Linked DNA regions of Rattus norvegicus. The protein of the gene in region 1 binds, or shares a complex with, the protein of each later gene. Links are inferred from orthologs where the notes say so. Each region holds a gene or a part of one and is shown in the gene's direction. Other genes may lie near its edges. The genes, in order: Arrb1, Ntsr1 and Grm3.

What was found.
Region 2: the proteins of Arrb1 (region 1) and Ntsr1 are in contact, whole or in part, in a cryo-EM structure (PDB 6UP7), measured with the Homo sapiens proteins. The link is inferred for Rattus norvegicus from reciprocal best matches to the Homo sapiens genes ARRB1 and NTSR1. Residues at the interface, in NP_004032.2 of Homo sapiens: Tyr63, Arg65, Asp67, Leu68, Val70, Leu71, Gly72, Leu73, Thr74, Phe75, Arg76, Lys77, Asn245, Thr246, Ala247, Gln248, Tyr249, Lys250, Lys284, Arg285, Gly286; in NP_002522.2 of Homo sapiens: Ser93, Leu94, Gln95, Ser96, Leu97, Gln98, Thr100, Val101, Arg166, Ile170, Pro173, Lys177, Phe286, Ser287, Met288, Ala289, Ile290, Ala297, Leu298, Gly301, Ser368, Asn370.
Region 3: the proteins of Arrb1 (region 1) and Grm3 are in contact, whole or in part, in a cryo-EM structure (PDB 9II2), measured with the Homo sapiens proteins. The link is inferred for Rattus norvegicus from reciprocal best matches to the Homo sapiens genes ARRB1 and GRM3. Residues at the interface, in NP_004032.2 of Homo sapiens: Gly5, Thr6, Arg7, Val8, Phe9, Lys10, Lys11, Ala12, Ser13, Pro14, Tyr21, Arg25, Arg65, Glu66, Asp67, Leu71, Gly72, Leu73, Thr74, Phe75, Arg76, Lys77, Arg103, Leu104, Lys107, Pro133, Arg236, Phe244, Asn245, Thr246; in NP_000831.2 of Homo sapiens: Pro605, Lys608, Ala609, Ile669, Phe670, Asp671, Gly672, Val673, Lys674, Asn675, Ala677, Gln678, Arg679, Lys681, Phe682, Ser684, Cys761, Pro762, Glu763, Phe765, Val834, Val835, Thr836, His837, Gln855, Ser856, Ser857, Ala858, Ser859, Thr860.

Annotation. Positions count from the first base shown.
Region 1 is NC_086019.1:163,248,441-163,253,498, forward strand, and holds the start of Arrb1 (beta-arrestin-1), read left to right. Parts: upstream 1-1,775; 5' UTR 1,776-1,807; coding exon 1,808-1,827; intron 1,828-5,058. UniProt on the Homo sapiens protein: Functions in regulating agonist-mediated G-protein coupled receptor (GPCR) signaling by mediating both receptor desensitization and resensitization processes.
Region 2 is NC_086021.1:187,982,295-187,987,299, forward strand, and holds the start of Ntsr1 (neurotensin receptor type 1), read left to right. Parts: upstream 1-1,483; 5' UTR 1,484-1,947; coding exon 1,948-2,664; intron 2,665-5,005. UniProt on the Homo sapiens protein: G-protein coupled receptor for the tridecapeptide neurotensin (NTS). Signaling is effected via G proteins that activate a phosphatidylinositol-calcium second messenger system.
Region 3 is NC_086022.1:25,476,584-25,481,063, forward strand, and holds part of Grm3 (metabotropic glutamate receptor 3 precursor), read left to right. Parts: intron 1-3,602; coding exon 3,603-4,458; intron 4,459-4,480. UniProt on the Homo sapiens protein: G-protein coupled receptor for glutamate. Ligand binding causes a conformation change that triggers signaling via guanine nucleotide-binding proteins (G proteins) and modulates the activity of down-stream effectors.

The DNA of each region.
Region 1 (5,058 bases):
CCTGAATGTGCATTGAGCATCTGGGCTCTGTACTGAGACCATCAGGCTTGCATGAAGCCTGTGTGGAGAATATAAGACCAGGCCTCTTGATGTTGAGCTCACAAAGTGATCTTCTTGCTATCAACAGAGGATCCTATTCTGTTCCTTTCAAGATCCCCCCACAACCCCTTGCAGAAGGATCTGGTAGCTTCCTGTTCTGCCCTGGTTGGAGCAAGGGAAGATCCCAGAGGCTAAGAAAGGGCAGGTGAAGTTACAGACCGTAATCCATTTTCACTTAGCTCTTACCATTGCCCAGATGTGGACCACCCTGCCTATCCATTAGCCTCTACCCACCCCTCCCCAATCTGGACATAATTATAGTCGTTATCCTGGGATATTATTACCAACTCTATAAACAGCACACTCTATGTAAACAGCATAGGTAACTCTTCTGAACATAATTACAGGAGATGTTTCCAGACCCGCAATTGCATCAGAGTAAATGATAGCTTCCTTTCCTATCGTTAATACTCCGATATTAGGGACCTATCAGTGCCAATTAGTCAAACCCCAGCAGCAAGCGGCTGAGAAAGACCTTACATTCTCCCACTTCCTGCAAAGCAAGAAGGAACCCCTTAAGATCCCTTCCAGGAGAAAATGGATTAAAATCCAGAACCCTTTCCTACCCCTCCTTAGCCTCTGGACTCCACCCTCCCACTGCACACCTGCTACTTCCACAGGGGTAGGAAACTTGGGGAAAGTCAAGATTTCAAGGATAGCAAGAAAGCTGCAGACAGTAAGCTCTGCTGGACACCACTGTGTGCAGGTGCCTGCCGGCAAGAACAAGTGAATTCCTTCACCTATAGAACAGGGCATCTGCTGGTCTTAGGACCCAGCCAGTAGATCTGGAATGGGCTGAGATGGCTGATGTCTAGAGTCATTGCAGGCAAGTAAACTAGGCCTGGGTGCTAGCAATGATGCTGGATGCTCCGGTCACCAGCTAGTTGGCTCTTGGTCCCTGCTTTATCTTCTGTTCTCACAGCTTCCTCTTTCTGCCTGCCCCTCCCCTCCTCTTTCCACTCTCATCTGCTCTCCAGCATTGCAGTCCGCTGCCCGCCCCCACCCCTTCTTCCTGTCCCCGCTGTGCCGTTGGGTGGTATCTCTCCAGAAGGGCGGGGGCGGGGAGGGTGGAGCAAAGGGCGAAGGCCTGGCTAGGCTTTTGGAATCTTTTGCTGTGTTCACACACAGGGGCGCCGCTGAGGCTGGGCCTTGGAGTCTGCGGATTTTCCGCTTGCATCTATCCGCAGACACAAAGGCCAGTCCTGGCTTGCGCGGGAGAGCGCGCTTGCACCCACGATTGTGAGCACACACGCACAACTGCACAAAGACGTGCTATCTCTGCACACACACACACACACACACATACACACACACACAATCTCTCTCTCTACCCCTCCCCCCTTCTCCCGACAGGCTCGCGCGCACAGCCGTGCACACGCACCAGCACTGGCACGCGCTTGCGTGCACGCACTCTCGTGGACCAGCCGCGGCCGGCCACCCAGCCCTCACTCTCTGGGCGCGCACACGCAGAGCGGCGCACGGAGCCACACACGCGCGCTCACACCCGCACGCTCCACGCCCCTGGCGGCGGCCGGGGCGCTGTGCTGCTCGAGCGACGGGCGGGGACCCGGGCGGGGGCGGCGGCGGCGACAGCGGAGGAGGCGGAGCGGGGTAGCCGGGAGCGGGCTGGCCCGCGCTTCTCCTGGCGGCCGGGGATTTTCCAGCCTGGACGCTGACGCCGCGGACCTCCCTGCGGCCGCCGCGGACCATGGGCGACAAAGGGACACGGTGAGTGCGGGTGGCCGCCCTGTCCCGCGTGCGCGTGGGGACGACCTGGGCGAGGGCACGGGCGGAGGTTCCAATCAGCGTCACCCGGGATCTGGCACTCTGTTGTCCGCCCAAGTCTCTTGTGTGGTCTCTGGCCAGAACCATGTGTAAGGACGGAGGCACCCAGGATGGGCCACCCCACTTGGTTCAAGGCTCCTGGCCGAGACGAGCTCACACAACCAGCCCTGGCTGGTCGGTAGACTCGAGGACGTTCTGGGGCAGGCTGACACACGACACACACACTCATAAACACATGAACACCCTTCTGCTGGCACACACTGACAGTCGCTGCCACACTTCGCATTTGTGACACGACAACGTCACACGCGGTCTCTCACGCACACACTAGTCTGCCAACACATTCCTGCTGTCAGTACTGTTAGCATACACAGGTCCCACTGGAACACGCACCAGCTCTAACACACCTCGTGTTGCCACGCACATCTGGGCATACACCAACATACGTATCCTGTCACCTGGATGCTGCAAAGCACGGTCTGGCTAGTGCTTGCAGTCTGTCAACCCTCTCTGAAATGACACGATGCAGCCACAGGTCTTAGTGACACATCAAGGCCAATCACGCACATGCACAGCAGAAAATGCCTGCAGGGCCTGACATCTCTAGGGCAGTGGATACACTTCACTTCTGACTCCCCATGGCCAGACCAGAAACACAGGTCAGAGTGGGAGACTTTGAGACCTGGAAGGCAGGTCCCATTCACATGCTTTCCTTCCCCTCTGACCTCCAAAGCACATAGCTAGGGGCTACATCTAGCTGGGGATGGTGGTGGTGAGGGAAACTGTTTTTGTAGATCCTGCCTTGAAAGGAAAGGTTAGGCCCTCGAAATGGAAACTAGGTCAAAGTAGGAAGGCTAGGGAGGGGCAGGGAAGCTCTTGGGGTCAATCCTTATGACCTAGACCAGCCCTAGTCAACTTAGAGTTTACCTTCCTGGCCCTTGAGAGTCTCCTTGCCGCCCTTCCTGGCCCCTCCTCTAGTCTTCCTGCACCTGCTTTTTATCACTGCTTTCCTTATTACTCTTATGTTTGTGTTCTTCTCTCTGCCTTCACTTCCTTTCCTCTGATATTTATTTATTAAGCCCCTGTTGTATACTAGGCATAGCCTCGGTGATGAGAGATGATCAGAAAGGAAGCATCCCTGCAGTCACATGTTGGGGCCCTTAAACAAACTGGTTTTTTGCCCACTGACCCCAGAGCCTTTCAGCAGTGAGTGAAAGGGGCTACAGAGGTTATTCCCATTTCCCAGGAGTAGAAATTGAGGCATAGTGCTAACTCAGATTCCTCATGTTTAGAAACTACCTCCCACCAGCCTCCCTATTGATGGCCCTTCCTGGAGGTTAATTTTCCTATTCTGGTTTCCCCAAAGAGGAACTGAAGGGTGAGAAAGGTCACTTGCCTTGCTGAAGGTCAGGAAGGGGCAGAGGCCACAGCCCACTGTATCTTGTGGCTCTCCTTGGGGCCCTGGGTGTAAAGACTAGCAAGGGACTCACTTGGTGCAGAGGCACAGCTTTGGGAGACTGCGGACAGCCATGAGGTGTTTGCATTCACCTTGAGGGCCAATGCAGCTGGCTGGTCAGCATCGTGACCCAGGCTTCAGTCCTTGGAGGAAAGATGCTTGGATGCATCTCTCTTCAGCCACACCCATCCCCCTCCCCGCTTTGAGACTCTCTGGAACTGTAAGGTTGAGCTTTGCTCCCTGTGAGGCACGGCAGGGAGTCAGCAGCCACTGACTTCTCCTTTGTTCTCCAGTGCTGCTGGTGACCAGGGTGACTCAGCCATGCTGGGCCTCTCTGTAACTAGGGGAGAAGTGTCACAGATTCCTGATACCTTGAATTGTCATAGGAGGAGGACACTCTGGCTGCCAGACACCTGTTGGAGAATCCTGAGGCCACAGCTTTGTCCTTGACTCCCCTGCTGTGCTTCTAACTCAAGGGCAGACCCAGTATTCCCATCTGTACATTGGAGCCATTAGAACTTTGGTTTTCATGGCTCCCAAAAGCTTACTGAGCTCACTGGACATAGGAGTAGGAGTTGCCTATGCCAGGAAATACAGACTAGCTACACAAACTCCACCTGTCCGTGTTTGCCTCCCCTCCCTGGGCCCCTCTAGAGCCATGAATTCTGCCTTTCTCTTTCTAGATCTGTCTGGATATGAAAGGTAAGAAGCTTTCTCCATTGTGTTACATTGGCCATGAGATTTTGCTTTGAGACCTGGAAGGGACATTGCAAATACTCAATACTCTTAGGCTCTGGAGTCATCACATCTATTCCTGTCGGTTGGAGGAAGTGATAATGAACGTTAATCAAAACTGTCACTGCCCTTGCAGAAACCCCTGGGTTGAGAGGAGGCCCAGGGCAGAGCAAGCTAGCACCAACAGGGGTCCAATGAGCACAGGTCATGAAAGAGTGGCTTCTTTGTAGCCTGGGGCAGGAGTTCCCAGAGCTGAATCCCCAGACTATCCATTCCCAGGTGATGGTGGTACACGACACAATCACTTTGGGAGGTGGAAGAGGCATCCACACCAGAGCTGAGCTGGATGTGACCCGAAACTGTTCTGGGTAGTCAAAGCAGCTGAGATTGACCTAGAAGCTTGAGGAGGCTGAGCAGTGGAACTGCAACCAGTGCCCTGCCAGCCCAGGGTGCAGAATGTACAAGGACCGGGAGGTGGGAAGAGAAGCCTGGGGGTGGGGCCTGCGAGAGGAACACAGGCCAGTCATCCCCAGCCCTGGGAAGGTCAGGCTAAGGCAACAGGATTTTTCTTCCATTGCCAGGATCAGCTGGGAGAAGAGGGTGGAGAATGGAGGACAAGAACAAGTCTTCCTCTCAGACAGGTGCTTAAGACAGTGGCCAGCAGAGGGAGGAGCTGGCCTTGAGGCAGAGACACTCTAGGAAGGAGCCTCAGAACCAAGGCCGTGGCTCAGAACTAAGGCTGATCAATAGCATATGATCAAGGAAGTGGGGGTCAGCAAGCTAGATGGCTGAATGCATCTCTGCTGCCTCTCTGGGCTTAGAATTATGTTCACAGGGGCTGGGGAGATGACTCCAGTAAAATGCTTGCTGCCTAAGCCTGAGGCCATGAATTAGCATCTTCAGACCCCACATAAAAAGTTGAGCATAGTGGGCTCTAACCCTACTGCTGGGGGTGGGGATAAAGGGAAAGGAGGGAAAGGGAT
Region 2 (5,005 bases), on another chromosome or scaffold:
ATCTAGTCTCACCTGGGGCAGTTTTCAAGCCCACCTTACCTGCACCTGATGGGCACCCAACCAGAACCCATCAATACAGATTTCCAGTTCCCTTCCACAAAGGAAGACGCCAAGGTGTACCCAAAAATATTAAAGGCCTGTTCAACCCCTACACCCTCAGCCTGCTGTACTGGTTTTTAACACGGGGACGCAGCTGTTTCCTCGGAAAACAGAGCATCTTATGCACTGCTTTTCATGTGTTAAGATTTTACCGGTGAGCACCAGCTTTTGTCCAGCTGGCACTCTCCAAACAGGTTGAAAGTTGGGGTCTGAGGGTCTCCCTGCTGGCCGAGCAGGGACTCTCTGGTCACATCAGGATCCCTGGTCTGGGTCAAAGCCTCACCCACTTCTCTCATTACCCTCTCTCTCCCCACAGTCCACTCAGGATCCCTAGTTCCAGCACAGCAGGTACAGACAGCAGCAGGGTCCATGCAGGGACCGCAATTTGCCCTGAGCCTTCTTCCCTCCTGCCCCAGGACTCCCCAGGAGTTTTCTGGAGGAAGAAGGCAGAAGGGCCGAGTGGGGAAATAGAGGCAAGGGCCTTGGGACAAGCAAGATGGCAGCAAGCCTGGAAGCTCTTGCCAAGGCCCCTGCCAAGGAGGACAAGATGAAAAGACCTTTGTTCCCTAGGTCCCTGACTGGGGCAGGGTCCCCTGGGAAAAGCTGAGCTGGGCTGAGTTCACAGCCTGCAGTGTTTCCTGGAAGGACAGATGTGACTCTGTGTCACCCACAAACCTGCCCTGCCCCTCTGAAACACGACAGAGCACCGGCTTTGAGAGTCACTGCTGGTGACCAAGTCCAGGTGACTACAAGAGGACAGAGGGGCCCATCATACCCAAAGGCAGCATAAGACCGTGGGATTGCCTGGGCCGGCGTGGAGAGATAGGCTGCTCTGCCTTCCGGCGCTATGCTTTCCTTCACCCGACCCTTCACAGGCTAGAGGGCCCCCTGGGTGCTTCTGGCACCCCGCAGGCACCCAGGAGGGAGGAGGCCGAGCCAGCTGTACAAAGGCCCTGCCATACCAGCAGGGTGCCCCCCTCCTCCTCACCCTTTTCTCTCTGGTAAGGGAGCTGAAGGCGACTAAGGGTAGCTTCCTTTTTGGGGTGGGAGAAGTTGGGATCAATGATCGGGAAGGAGAAGATTGTGCTGCCCGGAAAGGTTGAAAGGAAAGATCCAATATCGCCTCATTCTCCCTCACACCGTAGGGAATCCTGTTTCCTGGGGTACTCATCCTAGCCCAGGTGGTCCCGGGAGCGTGCAGAGGCAACCGTCAGCCAGTATCCGGGTAGGGAGGGGACAGTGGCTGTGGCGTCTCTGACTCTCCAACACCCACCCTCCTCCACTGCTGGGCGCGCCGCGCAGCCGCCAGCTCAGTGGAAGCGCGAGGAGCCCGGCAGGCTCCAGCGCAGCAGGAGGTGTGCGAAGTCGGGTGCGGGAAGAGCTCCAAGCAGAAGAGGGAGAACGAGGGTGAGCACACTGGGTAGCCGTGTGTGCGCTCCGCTCTGCGCCACAGGCTCCCCCAACGAAGCCACAAGCCAGCAGGGTCGCGGTCCTGAGGACATTACTACCACCCAGGAGTGCAGAGAACCAACCACAGAATCTGGAGGTCCGTAGCAGCCCGGATCTAGGCAGGCTAGGGGCTAGGGGGTCGGGGGGTGGGGTGCCGAGGAAGAGCGAAACCGGAACGCAGATCCCAGACTCTGGAGGAGAAAGAAGAGTGGATCCCTGAGCCGGCAAGTCGTGAGCCCCAGAGCTACCAGGCAGGATCCCCTGGATAACGCGCTTAGCCGCTGGACGGCACGCCCCCCTTAGCTTCTGCACCCTCTCCTCTGGGCGCCTCCTCATCTGCCCCTGGAGGGACTTTCACCTGCAAAGGTGCAGGACAAAGCAGCATACCCGGCACCCACCATGCACCTCAACAGCTCCGTGCCGCAGGGCACCCCTGGTGAACCCGATGCCCAGCCCTTTTCGGGACCACAGTCCGAAATGGAAGCGACGTTCCTGGCGCTCAGTTTGAGCAATGGTTCTGGCAATACCTCGGAATCCGACACGGCAGGGCCCAACAGCGACCTGGACGTGAACACTGACATTTATTCCAAGGTGCTGGTGACTGCTATATACCTGGCACTCTTCGTGGTGGGCACTGTGGGCAACTCCGTGACAGCCTTCACTCTAGCGCGGAAGAAGTCACTGCAGAGCCTGCAGAGCACTGTGCATTACCACCTGGGCAGCCTGGCACTGTCTGACCTGCTTATCCTTCTGCTGGCCATGCCCGTGGAGCTATACAACTTCATCTGGGTACACCATCCCTGGGCCTTTGGGGACGCTGGCTGCCGTGGCTACTATTTCCTGCGTGATGCCTGCACCTATGCCACAGCCCTCAATGTAGCCAGCCTGAGTGTGGAGCGCTACTTGGCCATCTGCCATCCCTTCAAGGCCAAGACCCTCATGTCCCGCAGCCGCACCAAGAAATTCATCAGTGCCATATGGCTAGCTTCGGCGCTGCTGGCTATACCCATGCTTTTCACCATGGGCCTGCAGAACCGCAGTGGTGACGGCACGCACCCTGGCGGCCTGGTGTGCACACCCATTGTGGACACAGCCACTGTCAAGGTCGTCATCCAGGTAAGAGCGTCGAAGTGGGGACTCTCTGTGCCATGGCACATTAGAGGGCACACCGGGGCACTGATTTCCCATCTGGCTGTTTCTTTCCATTGGAGCTATACAGAGACTTTTAGCAGTGTCACCTCAGAAGCCCCGATGATTCAAGGCACCACCTGGGGAGATGCAGCAGTGCCTCAGAAGCACTTTTTTTCCCTTCTCCCCTGTCCCAAAGTAGACCCCAGTGACAGCATACTTAATAGCTTACTGTGCTCTTAGGCTGGGAAGGGGCGGGGCACACCCATCAACTCTTCTTCCGAACTTTTCACTCCCAGTCGCCTGCCCCACCCTGCTTCCACCCCTCCTGATGAAGGAGGCTTGAGCCCCAATCAGTGACTTCTGTTTACTGTAAGCCTTCAGGTACTCTCAGGGAAGAGGGTCGCCATCAGCCTTTCAAGAGGTTACAAGAATCCCTGAAACCCCAGGCTGGCTCCCTAAGGCCTTCTGGCTGCCTCTCCTGGACACAAACCCAGGATCTGGAGCTTCCTAGTCTGTGAAGTGAGGTGATCACAGAATGGTCAAGAGGGCTATGAGAGGGGCTCTCAGGTCCCCAGTGTGAAGCACTCCAGGCCCTTGCTGCTGCCGCTGCTGCTGCTGCTGCCGCCACTGCTGCTGCTGCTGCTGCTGGTGATGGTGATGGTGATGGTGGTGGTGGTGGTGGTGTTTGTGCAGAGCAACCTGGAGTGTCTTGGTGTAGAGGGGTGTAATAGGCAAATAAAACTGGGATGATGGACCACAGTCCTCTGTGGGTCTGAGCATAGCACCAGGGAACCAGATGGGAGCCTCCTTGGAAATTACTAGCAGAGTAACTCAGCATGCTGGGAGCTCAACAGGAAAGGACCGTGAGGAGGGAAGTGGGTATCCACAGGGGCAGCTAGAGCCCCTGAGTGGTTATGCCAACACACCAGAGGCTGAGGCAAGAGGATTACAAGTTTGAGGCAAGCTTGGACCTCAAATTTGTGAGACCCTGTCTGAAAAACAACCCCCCACAAAGAAAATGAAGAAATGAAGAAAGTTTTGAAGAATTTCTTGGCTCTAGACCCTGGGCAACCATGGAAGTACAGGGAGGGTTCTCTTCCACCACGGGGTGAGCAAGAAAGGCAGAGAATGAGAGGATCTGGCCAGGGGCTCCTGCCATGTCAGAGGGGCCTCCGGGGAAGGTGGCTATGCCAACTTTCCTCATCAAGCCATCTATAGGCTCCCAGAGCCTCACAGCAAGATTCTGTGGTCACATGGTATATCCAGGTGACACCCAGAAACCAGAAATGCCGGGTTGGTTGCAATCAGCATTCAGACATCAGGCAGTATCTAACTCAAGAATTCATCTCCAAGGTAGGCCGTGGGGACAGGAATAATGCTCTTGTGCTACAAGTGTCCCTGTGTACGGTCCCTCTTGAGCTGCCACTCCTAGCAGGGCTGAGTCAGTGCCTAGCTTGTCTAGCAAGGTCTTCTGCATTAAGGCAAGTGCACATTCATTGGGTGCTCCATGTGACAAACAGTAGGATTCACCATGGCTCCTTGCTTCCTTTGAGGCAACAGGCCTCTTCCTTCAAGCTCCTGTCTTTGATGGGCTTTGTAGGAAGAGGGCTTCGCAGTCCACACTGTTCCCAGCTCCTCCAGCTGTAGGGTCAGGGGCAAGCACAACTCACCCTCATCCACTAGACAAAACCCTTTTTGAAATCCTGCAGAAGCCCTGTTGGAGCCACAGAACCGGATCCACATATGACAGGGTGTCTCCTCCCTTCCAAAGCTCTCTTGTCATTGCTTGCACCTCCCGGTCCATGTGACAGGTTCCTGGTCACTGTCCATCAGCACTGATTGTTGAGCACCCGTCCCGGGCAAGGCTCCCCTCAGTAGCTGTCACATTGTTGGCTGAGTGTTTACTAAGTGCCTGCTGGTGGCCTTTGTGCCCCTGGAGAACAGAGCTTCCATTTTCCCTTAGAAGACTCAGCCTCATTCTCAGAGCAACTGAGTGTAGCGTGTTCTTCATCTGTCTTATGTTAACAGCTGACCAGGTCTCTCTGGCTGGGAGCACAAGCTATTCTGGTTATTTGATGAGACCATTCCTCGGGAGAGGCATGGACCCTCTCACCCCTCCTAAACCACTGTCTGCAATCTGAAGATGTATTTCCGTCCCTGGGATCATGGGATTTGCGGTGCCCACCAAAATGTCTGGGCACACTAAGGAGATGAGCACGGCTACCTTCTGTTCTACTTGTGTCTCCAGTCATGGCTGACTATCCTACATCTCCATCCTCATGGCCATATTTGGAAGTATTGAAATATTGGCCTCTTTCCAAAACAG
Region 3 (4,480 bases), on another chromosome or scaffold:
TCCCATCTTCTCTTAAAATGCTTCTGTCTAAAACATAACTAGGTCCTGGTTTTCTTTCCTCCTCTCTTACTAATAATAACATAACTGGGTAACTTTCTTCCTAGTTTTACACCACTTTCCCATTCTTAGATGATTCTTCCTTTACCGTTCAAAATAATGTCCAGTGTAGGAGTTTTTCTTACTTCATGCTTTCTCCAAAAAAAAATATATATGGTCAGTTACCAAGGCAGGAATGTTTTTAAATGCCCAATTTTAAACAAATGAGACAGAACTTAGCAGATACCTGGGCAAATTTAAATTTTACATTTACAAAAATCTGAGGTCTAGGAGGACAGCTCAGTGGGTAAAGAGCTTACTACAAAAGCACAAAGGCCTGAAGTTGGACCTTCAGACTCCACATAGCTACATAAGCTAGCACATGTCTGTCATCCCAGCTCTCTTATGGCAAGATGTGAGGCCTACTTGCAAGAACCTCCAGAAGACTGGTATGTGTAGAAAGGCAGAGGGTGGGCAGTGTTCCCTGAGCTTTTCCTGCTCCTTCACATATATTCTAGAACAGGCATGTATTTGCATTCACACATGCATGCATGTACAACAACGTGCATGTACAAAGAAAACCCCTACTGACGTCAGCGCGAGAGTGTCTGACATACCAAACACTGTTTATGTCCCTGGCTGAATGTCTCCACATTCTAAGCCTCAAATTGATGACCACACAAGAGAGGTGAAGACGAAGGCAGGAGAAGACAACCATGGTATTGGAAGTCAAATGCCTAGCTTTGCATTTTGATTTTCTACCACACTTAATTACAAAACTATGAAAAAGTTTCAGGAGTTCACAGAATCCAGTTTTGCATGTTGAAATTAAGATAATACTTACCTCAAAAGACCCTTGTAAATAACAATAAAAAATACATGTGTAGATTTAGACATACATACCACACACACACACACACACACGCACACGCACACGCACACGCACACGCACACACACACAATCATTACAAATAGTAACTGATGCTCTAAGAAAATGGATTCATAAAAATGCACAAACCAAAGTATGAATGTTGTTCTCTAGAAATCAGACTAGACTGAAGGAGTGAGGAGAGAGAGATTAACGATCTGCCTTCTGTGGTACCTACTCATTAATTCAGAATGATTACTTTGTAACTAAGGAACCTAAGTTTGGAAGAACAATTCACCATAATGGGACTATCTCAGTACTTCACCGTAGCATTCATTTGTTGTAAATGTGTTCATAATGTACCTCACAGTGCCATTACTTTCCATGATTGCTCCATGCTGTTCAATACAGATGATACAGTTGACATTGCACTTAGGAGAGTTCCACCCCTGTATCTTAACTCAGCAATTATGCTCCCTTTTCCTAGAGTTAGCTGTGGCTTCCTTAGTTAAATACACATGCACTGTGACATGTACAGCCGTTGAAAAACAAGGGTGGTAGTCAGTATCTTATTCTACTTCACCACCTTTCCAAACAGGCTGCAGCTCGCTGTACCTCCTTCCAGCACAGAGAATGTTCATGTAACTTTCCTGTTGGAGCTAACTCATCCTTCTGTGTAGCTTTTCTTGATTGTAAGTTGTTCTCAGACATTCTGAAGCAGTGAACTTAAAGCCACAGGATCTAGCAGTCAATGGAAGTTGAATACTTCCTTACCCTTTTGGGAGAAGAAAATTCCAACAGCTTAGGAGCTGTGGTTCTTTATTTCCAGAAAATAGTGTCTCTGGGTATTCTTCAATGTCTCCCTAGACAGAACAGGCTCTGGTGACTCCAACAAGATGAGGAAAGTATTCCATCAATAAGAAATGGCCTTTCTGGTGCTACCCAGAAACTTCACAATCAGGTCTCCACAGAAAAGGATTATATCACCACAGTGGCCATAGTACAACATAAGTCCAGTGGAAGTCGGATACTAGGAGTAATGCAAATACTGGTTCAGGGCAACCTGCCTATTCATTTACCCTGAATAAACAAAAAGTACTCCTGTGCTCTGATCAGCCAGTGTAGGCAAGCCATTCTGTGCGGACGTTTCCAGTCCTTGGCAGAGAACTGCATTCTACCCATTCATCCAATCATTTGCCTTGTCTTGAGGTTCTAATTTTTCATTATTTGGTGTGCCGTGTCTCAGATTTTTCCAGCTGTCCTTGGTTTCCTTTGCTCCATGAAATGAGGATTCATCAGGACTGGGATGGCCATTGCATCCCTTTGCTTGTGTTGTGCTCAGAACTATCCATTTCAAGCTGATCGCCCTGTGTCCCTTAGGTAAACAAAAACATTCAATTGCCAGAAGAAAAAATTTCAAAGTACCTAAGCTCATTCCAACATACAGTCTTCTGAAATACTCAACTTGTTTTATTAAAGTTGACACAGAGGATTATGTGACTTAAAGTCACTAAAGACAGAACTTTTTGAAGCTAGGAAGAATAGAAAACACTTTGTTTATATATTTATTTATTTATTCTCAAGACAGGTTTTCTCTGTATGTGGCTCTGGCTGTCCTGGAACTCATTCTGTAGACCAGGCTGGCCTTGAACTGAGACATAGGCCTGCTTCTGCCTCCCTCCCGAGTGTTGAGATTAAAGGCATGCACCACCATCACCGGAGTAAAAGCAAATTTCTTACTAGATATAAATGTAATCTACTTTGATAGGTGTAACTATATATATATTTTTTTTCAAAGTATTTCATGCAGTACTTCTTGATAAACTCAGATCACTTCCTCTTTTGTCCTATAACAAATAAAAATAGTGGAATGTTGATAATTAACTAATAAAAATTCAAATTTTTATACAACATAGGCCTGAAATATGTCAAAGTACTCAATCATTCCTCAATACTTCATCTGAATTTCATCTGAATTCAAAAATACCATAAAAAGAGTTTATCTGCATGCTTTCCCTTTTCAAATTCTAAGAAAAAAAAAACAAGGCAAAGAAAAAGTTACAGTATCTTCAGAAATTTATCAAATTATATACCTAAAATTTTGAATGGTCTGAATAGAATTTAAGTAGAATTTATTTTGTTTCTTTTGCTTAACCTAGATAATAAATGTCTAATTTGGATTGTCCATGTGGCACTCAGTTCCCAAATTAAACTCTTTCAGAGACTGCCATTTTTAGCGAAAGAGGGGGAAGTGAGAATTAAACACCCCGGATCTTTCTATACAACCACAGCCAAGTTGTCTGAAAACCGAATTTGGCCACTTCACTGTAGTTCATTGTCTGCTGAGCTATAGCAGGACCCAGGGAACTTACAACGACCACGTTCAGAGCCTCTGAGCAAATTTCATCAGTCTAGAGTCTAGCACAGAACTTAAGTAGGTCCAGCCACCGTGGCCTCCCATTTTTCATCATGCTTTTCTCTAAAACAAACACTGCCTGCTTTGAACCTGCTCCCTAATAGCTAAACATGTTACCGAGGAAAGTATCTGGTAAAGGTCTCAAGAAGTGATCCCCTCCCCTCCCCTGCCCCGCACAGAAAAGGAAGCTGGTAACAGACGTGAATGGTGTAAAGATTTCTCTCTCACATAGTCATTTGCTTATGGGTTTTTTAAAAAGATGCCTCTCTCTTTTTTGCTCAGGTGGCAAACCTGCTGAGGCTCTTCCAGATCCCTCAGATAAGCTACGCCTCCACCAGCGCCAAACTCAGTGACAAGTCGCGCTATGATTACTTTGCCAGGACCGTGCCCCCTGACTTCTACCAGGCCAAAGCCATGGCCGAGATCTTGCGCTTCTTCAACTGGACCTATGTGTCCACCGTTGCCTCTGAGGGTGACTATGGGGAGACAGGGATTGAGGCCTTCGAGCAGGAAGCACGGCTGCGTAACATCTGCATCGCCACTGCTGAAAAGGTGGGCCGCTCCAACATCCGCAAGTCCTACGACAGCGTGATACGTGAGCTCCTGCAGAAACCCAATGCGCGGGTCGTGGTCCTGTTCATGCGCAGTGACGACTCACGAGAGCTGATCGCGGCAGCCAACCGCGTGAATGCCTCCTTCACCTGGGTGGCCAGCGACGGCTGGGGTGCTCAGGAGAGCATAGTCAAGGGCAGTGAGCATGTAGCCTATGGCGCCATCACCCTTGAGCTGGCATCTCACCCGGTTCGCCAGTTTGATCGCTACTTCCAGAGCCTCAACCCCTACAACAATCATCGTAACCCCTGGTTCCGAGACTTCTGGGAGCAGAAGTTCCAGTGCAGCCTCCAGAACAAGAGAAACCACAGACAGGTTTGTGACAAGCACCTGGCCATTGACAGCAGCAACTATGAGCAAGAATCCAAGATTATGTTTGTGGTGAATGCAGTGTACGCCATGGCGCATGCGCTGCACAAAATGCAGCGCACCCTCTGTCCCAACACCACCAAGCTCTGTGATGCAATGAAGATCCTAGATGGAAAGAAATTGTACAAGGAGTATTTGCTGAAAATCAACTTCACAGGTAAGCAGCGAGCCTTATTGTC